3 linked regions of the Drosophila melanogaster genome follow. The protein of the gene in region 2 interacts with the protein of the main gene of each other region in a pairwise test. Each region holds a gene or a part of one and is shown on either strand. Other genes may lie near its edges.

Region 1 (5,912 bases), on a different chromosome or scaffold from region 2:
CAAAAGGTAAGCTGTGGATTCTGGCAGGACATGGGAAATGAATTGCAACCGGTCAGGAAATGCTCAGAAATGGCAAATTGCCTGGCGGATGGGTTGCATTTTCAAGAGCTCCACTTCGTGACCAGTGAGTTTTACAGCTTCAACTCACTTTAAGAGCAGTTGTTGGTAGCCACAGGCCAAACAGTTGACTATTTAATTAAACATGCACACAGTTTGTTTTGCCTGCAGCACTAATTAATGCCCATCAAATTGAGTTGCGTATATTAGTGTCAATGTTATTGTAACTTTAATCGAATCCAACGAACCAGACATAATTAATTTCATATTTCAGCTAAGTGCTGTTTAACCCGCAACCACTTTTCAAACTGCAAACTAATATGCCCATTAAGCGTTCATGCAGAAACATCCAATGAAACACAAAGTGGCAACCGCAAAATCTCATTTCACAATTCGCGCACACCAAACAAATGCCATAAATATTTGGAATTCGCTTCGATAGCAAAGTTGCAGACACTCTCGCAAAAATATTGTTTATTTTCATTCAGTTTATTGCTCAAAATGAAATATTCAGTTTAGGGAACTTCGTGAGATTTGGATTTAACCTTGAAAACTTTAACAGTGGAATTACTTTATGCAAGAAAATCAATTACTATTTGATCTAAAATACTATTATATATTCATTTATTTGACTCCTGATTACTTCCCATTGAAAGGGTATGCATTTCAAAAATGACATTTGGACATGACAGCTCTGATTTACGTATGTGCAACAGATGAACTGGGTTTCCAAAAATGAGAATCACATTTTCAAGGACTGCTCTTTTGAAGCAACCTGCTGGAAACACTACTGAATAATGTTTAAGCACTTTCACTTACTTAACATTCGCATTCGTTCTGTTTTCGCTTTGCAAGGATTTGGCTCGGGATGAGCAAACAAGTGGAAGTCGAAGGAAAAAACAATTGCATGCAATCAATTGGTGAAATCAGGCATGCAATTTGCATGAGTGTGTGTCTGATGCCCTTGACTCCTGAGCAAGCTACGTTCCATCAGGTGAGAGACAACCCAAGGCAAGGGTTAAGGGTCAATTGGGCGAAGGCAAAGGCGATGGCGCAGGGCCACAGGGAAGGTTAAGACTGGGCTGATTTTCTACATCCGAAGGAGGAGCCCTGTTATCCTGACACACTCACATGCAAAAAGTTACTTTCGCAACAGTTGTTCGAAAAGGTTGGGGTTTGTACTTGGTTTATCGCCAGCTTGTTGGCAACAAAAGTTGATTAGCATATTACGTATACGTCCGATTGCCCTGTAACATTTTCATTTTGGGCCGAGGGGAACGGAAATGAAATGTGTAATGAGAAAAACGGAAACTCAAACAGCAACTCAGGAATAAATTATTAAGGGCATTTCCACATTGCTTCAGAAGTGAGCACATATGTACAATATGTATGGTTTTCAAACATGAGGTTAAAGTTAGTGCAACAAAGCCTTAGAACTATTTAAACAACGTTATGTCCATAGGTTCTTAAACCAACCAGTTCAACTATTTTAATACCACTCCAACCTTGGCATTTAATTTAGATCAATAAATGCGGCGGGCGTAAGTTTTAATAACTCTCAGCTGAGATACTCGGCTTCAACAATTTCCACCCCTTTTAATTGCATAATTGATAATTTCACCTAACGACCGTCAGTTACAGCCAGTTATTTACTCACTTGCGTGTAAGTTTCCGTGGGTCCTCCTCCCGTTTCGATTTTCCTTATTTTAGTAGGGGTTGCCCAGCAACTGATTTTCGGGTCGTTCGTTGTGTGGGATGCCAGCAAACTGCAAGGTAAAGAAACTTGCTGAATAATTCAGGATAAAGGATACACAGGCCAACTTGTCTTACGCGAACTTTAAGTCAATACTAACTTAGATAAATTGTGGTATACTTTACAGGGAACCCCATACAGGTGAATGGCAAAGCATGTATTCGAATGCATTTTATATACGTTATTAAAAACCATTTCTCTTGGATTGCATATGCATTGGTTCGCCTTTTATAAGACAAATAGGTTTTACAAGCTAAAGACGGATTTATATCATCTGAGATCAACATTTAACTCCTTTTTTCTAACTAATAAAAGCTCATTTTAGTTTTGTTTAGCCGTATTTAGTCCATCTGGACCTCTCCCCAACATGCGTGTGTCAGCTTTACGCTAAAGCATTGTAACTAGTAACATTGAAGGTCTATTTTTACTACCCACCCTCTGGTTGGGTTCCTCTCGAAAACAGCAAACAAGACTCCCATCTGCCACAAAGTATATTATGACAGCCACACAGGCACCGCCACTTGACTTGACTGGCTTTTAATTTTATTACACACATACTCTTTTTTTTTACTCATCTCACTTCAAGCCGCCAATCGAAGTTTCAAAGCCAAAGATTCGATCGCACCTGTTGTGGGTTGTGTTTTTATTTGGCGTAAGGTCTTTAATTATTTGTCATGCCTGTTAAAAAATTTTATAGTGATTGCTTCAACTTTCTAATTGCTAGGGGCAATCAATCAAAACACCATCAAACATGTAACTTTTAAGGCTTTTTCGTTTAATTGAAGAGCCGTCCATCACAAATACTGACAACTGAGTTGCTATTTAATAAAATGTTAATTTAAATGATGCGTTCAATTTATAAATTTTCAAAAATTTTCACATATTCTTACGTTAGCATGAACAAGATGTTAAAACAAAATCAGTCATGATCATCAATGTGTTTTGAGCATACAATTTGCCACTGGTTGAAAACACGAGAAAGTTTTGAGATATGTCATTTCAGGTGTTTATTTTTAAAACGAAATAAATTTCGTGGACTTCAAGGTCAAGTATTCTAGAGCAGACCCCGAAATGTGGTCACACTTCTTGCGAATAGCCAAGACCCACATTCCTACTGTCAAGTTCAAATGGCCAAAAACATGGCAAACATCAGCAAACACTTTTTCGCCAGCAGCGGCACTTGTTGTAAAAACAAAAGTGGGCTGTTTGAGGTGGTTTTCTGCTGGGTGGGCAATGGGAGGTGGGGTGTTGTCTAAGGGTATTTGAGGCCAACATTCTGACAATCAGCTGTCTTGCATACAGAGAGTGAGAGAGAGAGAGGGAGAGAGCATTTCTCTCTTGAGAGGAAGCTTTTCTTGGGGGCTGCTTCCGAGAACGCTCACTCGCAATATTTATAACCCCTCAGTGGGTTCTCTTAATAAGCACGTTGTTTGGTAGCTGTTATTATTGTTGCGTATTTTTTTGCTGTTGTCTTTTAAGTTAATATTTTAGAACGTGTTGAGCGACGGGCTTTCGCACACCACGTCATACTCCCGTGTACCATGCATATATGTGTATACACACATCTATAGCTGTGTGTTGGTATGTATCATGCGTAATGTAATTTCATGGGGGTTACGAGTTTTGTACACTTGAACTTGCAGCTGTCCTCTGGCATACAAAAATAAACTGTTTATGCAGTTAACTTTTGGGCCGTGCTTTCGTTGCCCCGATTTAGCCCCACTTTTTCCGCCTATCATTACTAATTCAACGCACAGTCCTGTTTTTTTCGAAAATTATTCGCAATCATGCGAATTCTTGAATTGACACTTCCGCCATACTCAAATGTACAAGCAAATTTCGCGAGTGGGAAAGTAAATTTGCAAATTTCACACTCAATTAGAAGACACATCATATCACTTTCACTTAACAAAGTCATCACTTTCAATTGAGCTGATTTAAATCGAATATAAACAGATTAATACTGATTAATCAATTAGCTCAGGCTCATTTGCCACTGATAAGCTGGAATTCCCATTCGACACTATTGCGATTCGTTTTGTTTGTTTGTTTATAGCCAAGACTTACAAATTACTTTTCCAAAACCAAGTTTGTTTCTGAAGCCAGCGAAAAGGGCTGAGTCTGCGAAGTTTTTTCTTTTCTTGGTAAAAAATCTTCTGCGTAGCGAAAGGAATCGGTGCAGACGATCGGAACGCGGAATACAAAATACCACCGTTCACATGGGAAGCAGAACTTTGACTGGCATCTTCCGCTTCTAGGTGAGCACGGTCAAAAGTAAGTTCAACATGTGGGAGAGCATGCGCCAGCTGAGCGGAGAGCCGCCTAACAGAAAAGCTCGCCTAACATTGTTGGCCAAGACAGTGGCTGCCTAAGCCAAGATCAGGTTAACAGAGGCAAAGCTTTACAGGCGGTTAAATTTGAACCGGTAGCGCCAAAAAAGCATAATTCACGTTTCCATTACTGCTAGCTTTACAACAATAAATAATAACAAACATGTGTGATAACCATCTTAAATAAACTTTGTTATCCATAATAAAAATGTGAATCCAGAATTAAGTGAACTTGTTAAATTTAGTACAATTAATCCCACTTACAATTCAAATAAAATGAGAAATATGCCATTTTATGTAATTATTCAATAATTTTTATTTATAGTACCTCACTTTAAAAATTACGTTATACCAATATTACATTAAATGTTGTTTGTTTATTACATGGGTTGTTTTCGCTATTTCGGCTGTTACATAGATTGTTTCAGTGTTTCCTTTTTGGGTTTACATTTACCGTTTATAATAGATATTTGCTGTATATGCATATTTGATAATCCGAAATGTGCTATAATATTGTGTGGTTAAAGTTTACTCTTACACATTTAGTTAGCTTAAAATTTTAAATGTAATATTTTTATTATTTTTACGTTTCTGTGATTCGCCTTCATTTTCGATTCTTCAAGTTGCTGGGTTCATTTTTTAATTGCTCTTGCGACAATTTTAACAAAGTTATAATGATATTTTCATTTATTGTTGTTCTAACTCTTGTAGTTGCTACTCCGTATGCTTTAATTATTTTACAATGATATACAGTTTTGCTATAAAACATTAAAATGAATCCAACTAAAGATAATAGGAATTGAATTAAATTATGTTGAGTTTTAAGGTAAGCATATTGCATTCAGTTCTACGGGTCTATAACGCTAAAATAAATTAATTTGCAACATTTGATTTTTATAATATTCAGATACCTGTTCCCCTAGGTCAGCTAACAACTAAAAAAATCTATTCAAATGTATATACAAAGATATCCAAGTGCTCGCCGCACACGCATAGTTGAGATGAAACCAAAAAGTTTTGAAGTTTCTTCAGATGGGTGTTTACTAGGTGTATCCATTCCTCCGATTCCTAAATATGTAGATACGCTAGTGGAAGCTATTATACATTTTTTATCGTTTTTAAATTTCTAATTCAAAATTTTGAATATATTTCCCATTGTGGTAAATTTGTTGTCGGATTTTTATATAGACCAATCAAGTCTACCCCGGATTCGAAGGGTAGTATCCAAAACTCGCTCGAATAATGCTTTTTAAAGAAATGTATACTATAACTACTTTCATTCTCTGCTACACTAAGACATTTTACAGTTCAATTAGAGGTGTTTTGTATCCATATATATACGTGTGTATTTATTGGTTTCTTTTTCTTACAAGCTTGTTTTAAATCTTTGTTTGAATGTGACTTCAAAGGACATTATTTAAGAGCTTAGTATTAACAACATTTGCAGTTTGATTCGCTAATTTCAGCTGCTTCTGTTTCCGGTTCTTTCAAAAATACATTCCATTTGTTGATTCCTTGCAATTACTTCATTTCTACATTTATTTATTGGCTATATTCTTAATTCAGTTGAAATCAAATCAATATACAATCCAAAATTCAGGACGCCTCCAGTAAAATTCAAATAACTCGTTTTGCTTTCTTTTATCGTTACAAGCTAATGATTTAAGTTCTAGAACCTTGATAATTTGGTTTAATTCTACGTTAAGGTATTCTCCCACTTCGTTCTATCTGTTCAAACAATATGGTTATAAAGCATTTGATTCATGTATGGG
Region 2 (7,020 bases):
TATCACACCCCAAGCAGCAGCAGCAGGGATTCCGAAATAAAAATCACACCGGAAACGGGAAGGCAAGCAAAAAATGTCAGCCAGGGACAACAGGAATTTGGATAGGAACTCGTAAAATATAGATAACGTCTGTCTGCCTTTTTCGAACTAATGGGTGTGGCTCCCTCCTGACGTCACCACTGTCGTATTGTTTTTGTGTTGTTATGCACTTAAAGTTAGGCCAAAAAATGATATGAAAGAATAACAAACCTAGCGCTATGACTATTCAAGCAAATATTCAATCAATTTCCAACCTTAACCCAGTGAATCTTCCAATACGAAACTATCAAAAACAACAAAAAACTCCAAACGAAATCGATCGAAGCATGTTTAGAATGGTAATATAGTTAATTTTATGGCACTCTAAATCGAATCGCGTTGCGTATACGAAACATCTTTTCCTTTCACTGACGTTTCAGCAGCTCTATAAATAACCAAGAGATCTGAGATCGGTGATCTATGGCTAAATAACCAGCCTCATCTGAAAACTCGGTTCCATTCTCTTTCGTTCGCAGACGACTTAACCTTATATGGCCGACGATTGACACTTTACAAATTATTCGAAAAATTATTTCAACTTTTTGTGCATTGGCTAAACATTTGCCCAATCCATTTTTCACAATTAACTTTCGAAAGGTTTTGTGTTTATTCATCGAAAATGCCAATTAGCATTCGGTGAATTTGCTGGCGAGAAATTTAAATGGAATTAATATGAATTAGATTAGGGAACATGTGTACGACGAGTAAGGGGAAAATCCGTGCCACCCCCGCTTCGCATTTTATTCAAATTTTTGGCTAATTGGTTAACTATAAAAATAAAAATCGCTTGGCTTTTATGGCCGCAAATAATTGTCAATTTTTGATGGTCTTCAACATAAAGTGGTACAATTTTATGGCAGCCGCCAACATGAAAAACCGAAACTAGTTCAACGCCCTGATGTATGCAGCGATCTCGGACTTACATAATTTTCTATAGAGCACGGAGAGTAAACAAAGGCTCTTCAGATACTTCAGATGGCGATTTCTTTTTGTTTTTACTATATTTAATTAATTTAACGACTACTTGAGAAGTTGCCAACGACATGTTGACTGGAGGCCTGGGTCTGTGACATGGAAAACTCATTAAAATGTTTACAGCGCTCAAAAATCAACAAACAAACAAAACTCGCCTCGGAACCAAGCGAACTAACAAAAGAGAGTGGAGCTGGCTGATACTAGAGGGGGGGGGGACGAAACGAAAACTACAAAAATTGTTTTCATTTCAAATATCAACTTGAAGCTGGAAAACTCTAACTTAAAGTTTTGTCAGCCGCCAACTAACTCACAGAGCAACTAAGCAGAGCGATGGGGAGGAAACTTTGTGAAAAGTTTTCAAATTAAAATGTTCGGACATTAAATATTTACCAGCGCTCCATGGCCGACAACTAATTTGAATTTAAATTACAATTACTAAAATTCAATGCAATTTAAATGATTCGCAGCTACAACTGCATGTGCTGCATTATTCCAGCCTCATATATAATTCAATTTCCCCGAACCCATTGTATGTAGTATATGTGCTTATGATTATGATTTTTCATGTTTTCCTTTTTTTTTCGGAATTTTTGTTTGGCTTTTTTGTGTTCTGCGGTCGTTCGTTTGGTTAGACAACTGTCAGCCAAAACATTTGTCACAATTTAGCATACGAAATAAAATTTGAATAAAATATATTCCTCTTTCTGTCACACACGGATGGCATTTTTTAATGACACTCTTGGTTTATGAATTCATAAAATGCATTTTGGTTAACAAACTTTAGGCTAGTTAAAAATTTGTCACATTATCGCATGAGATACATTTGTGATACATTTCCAGCTCTTTTCAGCTTTTTTCATGCAATTGCTTGCCCGCTTTGCTTGCGCGCTTAATTGCTCAGCATTAAAATGTCATTCAACCGTTAATTGGCTTCTATATAATATGTAAAGTGTGCTTAAAATAAAATACGGCTATAATTTAACAGTTATTGCCGTACTGAAACAACAAGTGACAGGTCGAGATAGGGTCTAAGCCCATTACAAAAGCTGCAGCGACAAGTCGGCTAACGACTGTGGCCCGAAAGAAATCCCGAACCTAAAGATAGAACCTCAGAAAGTCGTTCAATATACAAAAAAAAAGATCCTCCAATTTGACAAAAGAATGGCACAATAAAAATTATTTATGGATTCGTATTTTCTTGGTATCACTTTAATTTGTTTGTAATTACTTTAGCGCAGCCTTGCTCACATCACATCCATTGGCAAAATTAAAAACTCAAGGTATGAAAGAGTTCAACGCGTGCCTGAACTTTTTAATGATTTTGGTATAAAAATAACTTCGACCTTCGTTACAAATAAACTTGACTAACAGTTCATGGTTTTAAAGCTCGGAACCTTTGAGTCCGAGCCTTGATCTCTGATATCTGGAATTTAAAATGGTGGGCATTAAAATGTTTCAAAAATAAGCAAGACAAGTTTACAACTGTGATTTGGGTGCGAGCATTTGTTAACACGGCTTTTTACTTATTTTATTGGCTTTTAATGTCCAAAGCGGGCTTTCCTCGTTCATTTTCCATATTTACGAATCGAGAAAGTTACCCATCAGTGGCTCTTGTTTAATGACTATTTAATTTGCCAATTTTTGTTTGGGGACTAGGACAATAGCCATAAATAAGTCATTAACTGCTTTAAATAGCTTTATTAGCGGCAAATGATTCGACACTGATGCGTGATCTATGTAATGATGTTTCAATTGCAGGTATACAATTTCTGAATAGGTTGATTTAAAATGCAATTTAATCTTGGTTTACAGTGGATCAACAAAGCGCTTTTTTAGACTAAACCCCTATTAGCCTCTAAGTTATTTGTCAGGACATTTATTTAAATCCAAATTTTAAATCTAAGGGAACTAAGGAAAAAAACTGTAATGCCTTCTTAAACAGACCGAAAGTACTTAGAACCAACAAATGTATCTAGAAGATACAATAGCCTCATATCCAAACTGTGGAAGGGCATTCCATTGTTCTTTTTTTAAGACTGTCCCTAGGTAAGTGATCGTGCTATCTCCAGTATTAAATATCGTCCTTTTCAAGGATGCAGCCCAAATAGCCCGAAATCGGAAAGCCAGCAGCCCTTGAATATCGGTACTCACTTATCACATCGTGTCCATGGCAATCCAAATCCAGGTGATGGTTCATCACCAGCGATGGCTGTAATCCAGTTTGATTGTGGTTGTGATTGTGCAACGGTAGCTGGTGAGCCAAATGGCCACCAATCTCTGCCATTACCATATATTTGGCTGACAGGACACTCGGCGAAGCACACTCGAGATATTTGTGGGCTGGGAATCTTGAGAGCGGGCGCCTTTTCGTTTTGGGCCGTACTCAAGAAGTTTCCGGCATTGAGCAGGGATATTTGTGTAAGGCACTTGTACTGGTTTACTTATTCCGTGAAGTTTGCTTGAATTACTCAATATGAGACCGGGACACAGAGCACTGGGTTTTCGGCGAATTTAGCGGGATTATCACGGCTGTGTGATCCGTGTGCGCACACGCGTTTTGTTCGCAGGGATTTGGATCTATGGTGAGGGATTTAAGAGTCTCTCGCATCCGAAAAGGCAAATCCGACGGCTATCGAGCTAAGACGGTCGATGTTCGCGATACGACGGCTATATAGTAGCGATGACGACAACCGACCAACGACGATGTCTGGCGCACAAACATGCTCACTGCACGGAGACTGCTGAACGACTAAACCGGTCGGCGCTTCGTTCCGTTTGCCGTACGTTATCCGCACGCCAGGGAGCCAGCGAGCTAGCGAGCCAGCCAGCCACTCACCCCGAAATGTATCTCGCAGATACATTCTGCCTGCGAGAGCAGTGCGACTAGCTCGTCGCTCCGCAAGGGTAGGGAACTGGTGTGGCACTGGTGCAGCTGCAACCGGTTCCGAGCCAGTTCTGCGTGTACTTCTCGGATAGCCGATAGCGGATAGCCGACTCGATGGACTGACGGCCTGCAGGGGGGGGGGAGTTCGAAACAGGAACAGGTGTTTTTGTCGCACTCGCTCTGCGGGCAGCGCTCTCACGCTCCGTCCTTTTCTGGCAGCAAGCCCATCTCTTTCGCTTCCACTTGGTGGGCCTTTTCTAAATGGCGGCGAAGCGGGCCAATCGGTTGGACGGAGTGCGCATGACCGACTCCAGCTGTGGCTGCGGGATCCACAATCCACAAATGGAGGCAGTCAGGAGGTGGGCCCACATCCTCGCTCCCTTCGCTGGCCTTTTGTTTTGCCAATTTCGCTTTTGGTTTTCGAAGTTTGTACTACAAAATGGTTGCACTTGTAAGCAAGCGCACCCCCCTGGCCAACCCTACCCCACTCTTCATCCGTCGTCTGTCTTTCTACCCCCGAACTGTTGTAATGCGCTTGTCGAACTTTTCGGCTGTAGCCCCTCCGCTTTTGGGGCTCCCCTTTTCGCCCCTTTCCGCCCCCCTTGTCTCACCTGCCCGTCTTGACTTGGCTCTGCGGTCTGAAGGCGTCTCGTTTCGGGTGTGCTGCAACATCATAATAATTATTGATCTTTTGATTTCGTCTTCTGGTCTTTTGGGGAGCGCTCCAATCTCCACCCCCTCCCCCCCTGTTGCTCTGTTGCTCCTTCAAGGCCCTGTTGCAATTTTAATGACGCCCCCGTACGGCAATTTATATATGTGTTCGAGTGGGTGGCGGTCGGTGTCTGTGTTGCGGTTAGCAGTTCGTTGACTTGGCACCCAGTTGCCAACATTTGCTGGCCGATGATTTGTTGTAATGTCAGTTACCAGTTACCATCACCGACTCTTGGGGTGCACTCGAAGAAAAGCTTGTTTAAGCAATTTTGAAGAATGCTTATCTGTAGGCCAGGAAGAAGTTTAAGATGAGTTGTGGTGGTAAATTATTTTACTTAAATGTGCACATTTCTAAATTATATAGAATATGTGATAGAGATACAATCTAGTTTTATAATATTTTAAGTTTAACATCATAAACATATTGTGTTACTGTACAATTTAGTTAGATTTCCTTATTATTTTTTCGAGTGTCTGTAGCCTCTGACTACTTTTTTGCCATTTTTATTTGACGTAGGGTATTTTGAAGGAGTGGCCCTGCTGCGAACAGGGCTGCTTGTGGGTCTGGTAGAGTTTGAGCTGGTTTGGGGGGTGGTGGCGCTGCTGCTGTGTTGTATAATCAAGGTCATCGAGCTACAGTTTCAGTGGCCCGCTTGCTCCGTTTGGGGCACTCATTCATAGCCGTGTCTCAGTTAGCCAGACGCCGACATTAGTACATACTTGTTACAGCGAGCCACCCCCTTGCTACCATCCAACACCATCCTCTGCCACCCCCAACAGTACCCCAACCACCCCCGAATTGCGAGGCTTTCGCGCCATCTCCTTCGCACTCGAACGACAGCTGGCCAGCAGAAAACAGCTGACTGATGTCTGTGTGTTCGCCTGCGAGGGTGTGTGTGCCGGCGTATCTGTGTGCGGGGCAACTAGGCAGCTGGATGAGTGTGCGTTTGCTGGCAACATGAATTCAAAATTTAATTAGGTCCCGTCCATTAATTGGGTTAATTGAAATGCCGGTAAAAGTCAACGCTTACGAATTAGGACATGTCACTCAAGCCACTGCGCATCGATATGGTCGGAACAACGTTTAACTTGTTGGTTGAAATAGTTTTGTTTCGATTCGTTTAATTGAAATTGAGCAGACATGCTATATTAGCCATTGTTTAATGCATTTTTCTGCTTAAGCCCACGGCTGATCTTAGCCATTGGACAACTTACTGTCCTGGACCTAATTGCTAAGCTACCGAGCTTAACTTGGCTTTAATTGTTGGCGGCAGCTAATAAGGAAGATTGCATAGAGTTGTTTCTGTTTGATGCTTCACTAATGCTTCAGGAGGTAATTATATGTAATTATACTCTTATATGCAAAATATTAAATTATTCTAGTAGGATAGTATAAGCATTTATATTATCGAACTTATGGTATAACTTGACTATTTATTTCAAATAGTCATTTGTAATTAACATAAGTAAAGATATAGATTTCAAGGTTTTCCAGTACATTTCCCAAAGAGTTATGGTTATTGATTTCAATCTTCTAGAAAATAAATATATTGATTGAAATGAAGGTGAGTGGCATTCTTGTAATAAATATATACAAAATCGCAACCTTGGGCGCAAATAATATTTATTGCAGTTCTACGTTTATGCAAATGATTACGTTGTGTTCCTAGAATTTTGCCCTTTCATGGATCCTAATTAAATAAGTTTAAACCGTTCTTAAGTTTCACTTTCGCTTATTCCGATATTTTTCGCCATCATCTGCCCGGTCAACTTATTCCATTTCGTTTATTTCCAGACCGCAAAGCAAATGCAAATATATGCCCAAATGCGATCCAAACGACGGTTTAGGCAATTTTCAATCCTCGAAAAACATTTGGCAAAAAGAAGTGGGCAAAAATTTATGCAAACAGGGGCAGGAAAACTAGGAAAAACACCTACACAAACAGAGGTGTGGAGGTCCTTCGTCCTTTCGCTCCGACTTGTGGCTCATTTAATTTTCGCACTTTTGGCGGATCCGGGGCAGATGTAAAATGGAATTCCGAATAAACGTTGCCATGTGTAGTTGCGGTCGGATTACACGGTTGTCGAGGGGGGGCGGTGGGGGCTGATAGGGGGTGGCATCTCAGCCGGGCTAAAATCTAATTTCCAATGTCTGCCAACTGCATGGAACCCCACATTCCTTCTAATTTCAAAGGGCTCTACTGGAGTTTCAGTTTTGCATGACGTAGCAGATTATTTATTGTGTGAGGTTGTTGCTTAAGTATTTATGCAGCCTGCCCTGTGTGCTTGAGTGCACTGTGAGAAATGTATGCCTATTAATTGCTAATTTATTGTTCAATAATAATTAATAATGAAAATGTTTTAAATTTAAT
Region 3 (4,446 bases), on a different chromosome or scaffold from region 2:
GGCACATTACGTCGAAAAGTGTGGGCAGGCATCGCAGGATCGCGTATGGCAGACGCTTCACAATTTAATCCTCCGTCTCAGCGAGCGGAGAGCTGTGGCTGGCAATGCGAGTGGCATCAAGGAGGCACTTCAACAGCACATAATGCCACTGGTGAGGACCCAATACGTTAGTAGCCATAGCTCATGGCTTCCAAAGCTAGCGGCTAACTTCATCGCCCTGGAGAATAATGGGGACAAACTGCTACTGGGCTTCCTGCAGGGACCAGAACCCATCAATATGGCTGCTTCTGCTCAGTTGTTGCTCCAGGTGTTGGAAGACGGAGGGCGACCTGCCAGCTCCACCATTCTTCAGGTCTGGGTGAAGTCTCTGGTCCTCCTAAACGCACAACACGAATCTGTATTGGCTTTAATGCCCCATGTCACACAGCTAGAGGAGTTCCGACTTCTGGCCATTGATCCCACCTCTTTGGAGGGCGGGCGCGAGCCTCTCTGCGCCTTCTTTGGAGCTCTGGGAAGGCGTGCCCAGCAAGAGGAGGCTGCTGCCCACGTCCGTATGCAGTTGAGCCACAAACTGCATGCCTATGTAAATCATTTCGAGCTATGGCTACCCCCGGATCGAAGCCGATCGGAACTCGGTTCCCGGTTCTACAGCTTCCTAGCCATTGTCATCTATAATTGTTCCACTCTAGCGTACGTGCGATCCAAGCCGAGCTGCTTCTTCCACCTGGCCATGGTGCGGTTCCTGCTCACCACGCAGTTGCAGGCAGGAGTGCCGCCCGAAGGTCGCCTTCCACAAGTGGTTCACAAGATTTTCCCAGTGTTGCTGCAAGGCATTGGTCGACTGCCTTACCGCACGGACGCATACGTGGCCAAGACTTTGGAGCAACTAGTTCAGCACTGGACGCCGCACTTTAGCTTCTCATCCAACGCCAAGCTGGTGGCCCGTCCATATGCCACCCTCCTCCAGGCGGATGTAGATGGAGAGCTGGCGCAGTTTGTGCTTCAGCTCCTCGTTACCCAGTTTTTGGTGGTCCAGCGGCGGAGGGCAGGACAGCATGCGGGCTTGGTGATCACTATAATGCAGCAACTGATAGAGAGCACTGGCAAAGAGCAGGAAGAACAGCTGCTAACCGTTTTGCGCGGCGTGCACATCCCGCTGCTGGAACACGTAATGTTCGTGGACGAAGTGGACCTCAGTCGCAACCAAGTGTTTGGACTTTATAAAGTGCTTATATCGCACGATGCCTACAAGCGATCACAGGCGGTCAGGGATATGTGCTCCAATCACTTGCGATCCCTCGCCGAAAAGCACCTGGCCCACTGCACTTACTTTTACTTCCAGATGCTGATCAACCTGGCAGAGCTGGCGCCGGATCTAGTGGCTCCCATCCTATCCTTTATAAGGGAGCAGGCAGAGCAGGTGGAGCTAAAACGCGGCGCTGGAGAAGATGTGGGCATACGCAAGTGCTTGCAGCGACTCCAAAAGGTCTTGAGCAGGGTTTAGGCTCCTCATGGCTTCTTTTGTACATATAAGGATTCTCAATAAAATGTTAGGCATTCTATAAAATCTTTATTATTTCAGTCGGAAGATTCAATGATTCCTCCTTAAGAGATATACGTTACGGTGCGGCAAAATGTACATGGTGGTTTACACAGTCTCGCGATCTGTGCTCAAGGTCTCAGTTAAAGTGTTGGAAATAAATACATTATGATTGCTTCTCCTTTGGGCAGTTCTATAAACAGACGGCTAAACCACGTTTTTGACGTCGCGCGGTATGCGATTGGTAAGCAGCTCGGCGGGCATAAAGCCGGAGTCGCCCAGGTACTTGATGGACACGTTGCCGGATGGACTGATGGTCAGCCAGGTGATGGAAGCGTGATTAATGTTAATCCGTAGCCAACCCTCGGCGGGGAACTGCAGGGCTCGGCAGACAAAGTAGCGGATCACGTTGCCGTGTCCCACGATCAGGGTATAGCTCTCCTTCTCTTGGTCGGGATAGGCGCGGTGGAAGTATCGGCGAAAGCCGGCCTCTATGCGCGATCCGTCGCGAAGGAACTGCTGCAGTGAAATGAAAGCCGAATATCATGTGGAATACGCACTGGGTTGACCCTTGACTTGACTTACAGATGCCTCCGGCTTCCAGTGGCCGACTGGCGGCTGGGGCGGAATAGGCGCTCCTTCACGCAGGAAGGCACAGTTCACCACTTTCTCTTTTTCGAAATCGATCTGCTTGAGAATAATATCGGAAGTCTCCTGGGCCCGCACCATTGTGGAGGCTACTACCTTGTCCCACTTGATGCCCAGCTCGCAGAGCCGTTTCCCAGTAAACTCCGCCTGCTTGCGGCCGCGCTCCGTGAGATGATGCGTGTCATCCGAGTCACCCACGTCCAGATACTCGCCATGCCGCACTAGGATAATGTGGCGCGCCTTCTTGGCCTTCGCCTTCTCAAGCTCCGCGTTGTAGCGGTTCTCCTCCTCCGGCTGGCTGTTTCGCAGTGGACGCACGAGGGCCCGTGGCTCCCGGCAATCCCAGTTGGTGTCCCAAAGGGCCCACGGATCCACCGGCTTATCACTGTGCGTCCACGAGTTCTGCACGACCGTCTGCGGGTCCCGCAGCCGCTGTAGGTAGTAAGCCGCCAGTCCGGCTCCTGTGCCGCACACGAAGCTAGTCAACTTTCGCATCGTTAGGGCTTTTAGGTATTTTCTTTAATTTTAGTTTTGTTCCGCTGAATAAGTGCGGTATTTAAATACTGCGATTTGGTATTTGACATACTAGGTTAGCGGGTATATAAATACCGCGCAAGACCATTTAGAATTCAACTATCGAAAAGTTACCAAGATGAATCAAAAATACGAAATATATTTACACAATTATTGTATACCAAGAAAATTAAGGATCCACAATCAATTGTTTCGTTAATTATTCCGTATGTGTTTCTTAAAGAAATACCATGCAAATACTGAATACTGAAAAGTACCAGCGCTGGCACTCCTTAATAACAATCAGGTTGACGCGATATGGCAACGCCGTAGTGTGAAAAATTGCAATTTTTTTCATTTCACACACACAGACGCGACAGATACGCCAGCATCGGAACGAAGGACGTAAAAAGGCCGCAGAAAAACGCCTATCAAAGCTGAGGTTTATTGAAGGGGTTATCAGAAAGATATCTCTAGGAAAAGCCGCCAACAGGAGTCACAGCGTCGACATTCCATCGGAGCAGCAAGAAGCAGAGGCGGGGGCAATAAGAAACGGAAGAAGAAGAAGCCGATTCGACGTTTATCAATTATGAATTTCCTGGGATTCGGCCAGTCAGCGGACATTGAGATAGTCTTTGATGGAGCTGAGCACAAGACGGCAGAGGTTAAAGGGGAGGACGGCAAAGTGGAGAAGATGCTGCTATTCTACGACGGGGAGACGGTATCCGGCAAGGTGCGTCGTGGTCAGCATCGGGGGGAGTTCCCCCAAGCATAACCAGAGATAAACCCATATCCACCCCCTTTTCATCCAGGTGAACGTGACCCTCAAGAAGCCGGGCAGCAAGCTGGAGCACCAGGGCATTAAGATCGAATTCATTGGCCAGATCGAACTGTACTACGACCGGGGTAACCACCACGAATTCAAGTGTCTAGCGAAGGCCCTGGCCCGCCCGGGCGATCTCATCCAGAACAACAGCTATCCATTCGATTTCCCCAAAGTGGAGAAGCAATTCGAGGTGTACGCCGGCTCGAACGTGCGGTTGCGGTACTTCCTGCGCGCAACCATCGTCAGGCGGATCAGCGACATAACGAAGGAGGTCGACATCGCCGTGCACACACTGTGCAGCTACCCGGAGATGAACAACCCCATCAAGATGGAGGTAGGCATCGAAGACTGCCTGCACATCGAATTCGAGTATAACAAAAGCAAGTACCACCTGCGGGACACGATTATCGGCAAGATCTACTTCCTGTTGGTGCGCATTAAGATCAAGCACATGGAGATTGCGATCATCAAGAAGGAGAGCACGGGCACGGGCCCCACCATGTTTAACGAAAACGAAACGATTGCCAAGTACGAGATCATGGACGGAGCGCCCGTCAAAGGCGAGAGCATACCCATCCGGGTCTTTCTTGCTGGCTACAATCTCACGCCGACCATGCGGGACATTAACAAGAAGTTCTCAGTCAAGTATTTCCTCAACCTTGTGCTGATGGACACCGAGGACCGGCGCTACTTCAAACAACAGGAGATCACGCTGTGGCGCAAGGCAGACAAACCGCGTTACCATGGCGCTCAGCAGCACCAGCAACAGCAGCACCAACACGTTCCCCTGCACGCTCCGCCGCACCTGGTCAGCGGTCCTGCTGCGCCCACAGTGGCTCACTCGCTGATCAGCTCGAGCACGGACAGCGGAGAGGTGGGAGGAGCACCGACAGCGCCGGGCACTGCAGGATCTGAGTCC

The links. The genes of interacting proteins can lie anywhere in the genome.
Region 1: the proteins of tup (region 2) and CG11883 interact in a two-hybrid assay, tested with the Drosophila melanogaster proteins (one large-scale study listed by BioGRID).
Region 3: the proteins of tup (region 2) and Pgam5 interact in a two-hybrid assay, tested with the Drosophila melanogaster proteins (one large-scale study listed by BioGRID).

Annotation. Positions count from the first base shown.
Region 1 is NT_033778.4:10,615,802-10,621,713, reverse strand, and holds the start of CG11883 (uncharacterized protein), read right to left. Parts: upstream 4,053-5,912; 5' UTR 3,878-4,052; intron 1,824-3,877; 5' UTR 1,715-1,823; intron 1-1,714.
Region 2 is NT_033779.5:18,877,453-18,884,472, forward strand, and holds the start of tup (tailup), read right to left. Parts: upstream 3,810-7,020; 5' UTR 3,344-3,809; coding exon 3,205-3,343; intron 1-3,204.
Region 3 is NC_004354.4:1,870,848-1,875,293, forward strand, and holds Pgam5 (phosphoglycerate mutase 5), read right to left. Parts: upstream 2,719-4,446; 5' UTR 2,684-2,718; coding exon 2,126-2,683; intron 2,060-2,125; coding exon 1,748-2,059; 3' UTR 1,553-1,747; downstream 1-1,552. Other genes in the region: CG14803 (uncharacterized protein), read left to right, coding at 1-1,504; Vps26 (vacuolar protein sorting 26), read left to right, coding at 3,291-3,434, 3,514-4,446. UniProt on the Drosophila melanogaster protein: Displays phosphatase activity for serine/threonine residues, and dephosphorylates and activates Pk92B kinase. Has apparently no phosphoglycerate mutase activity.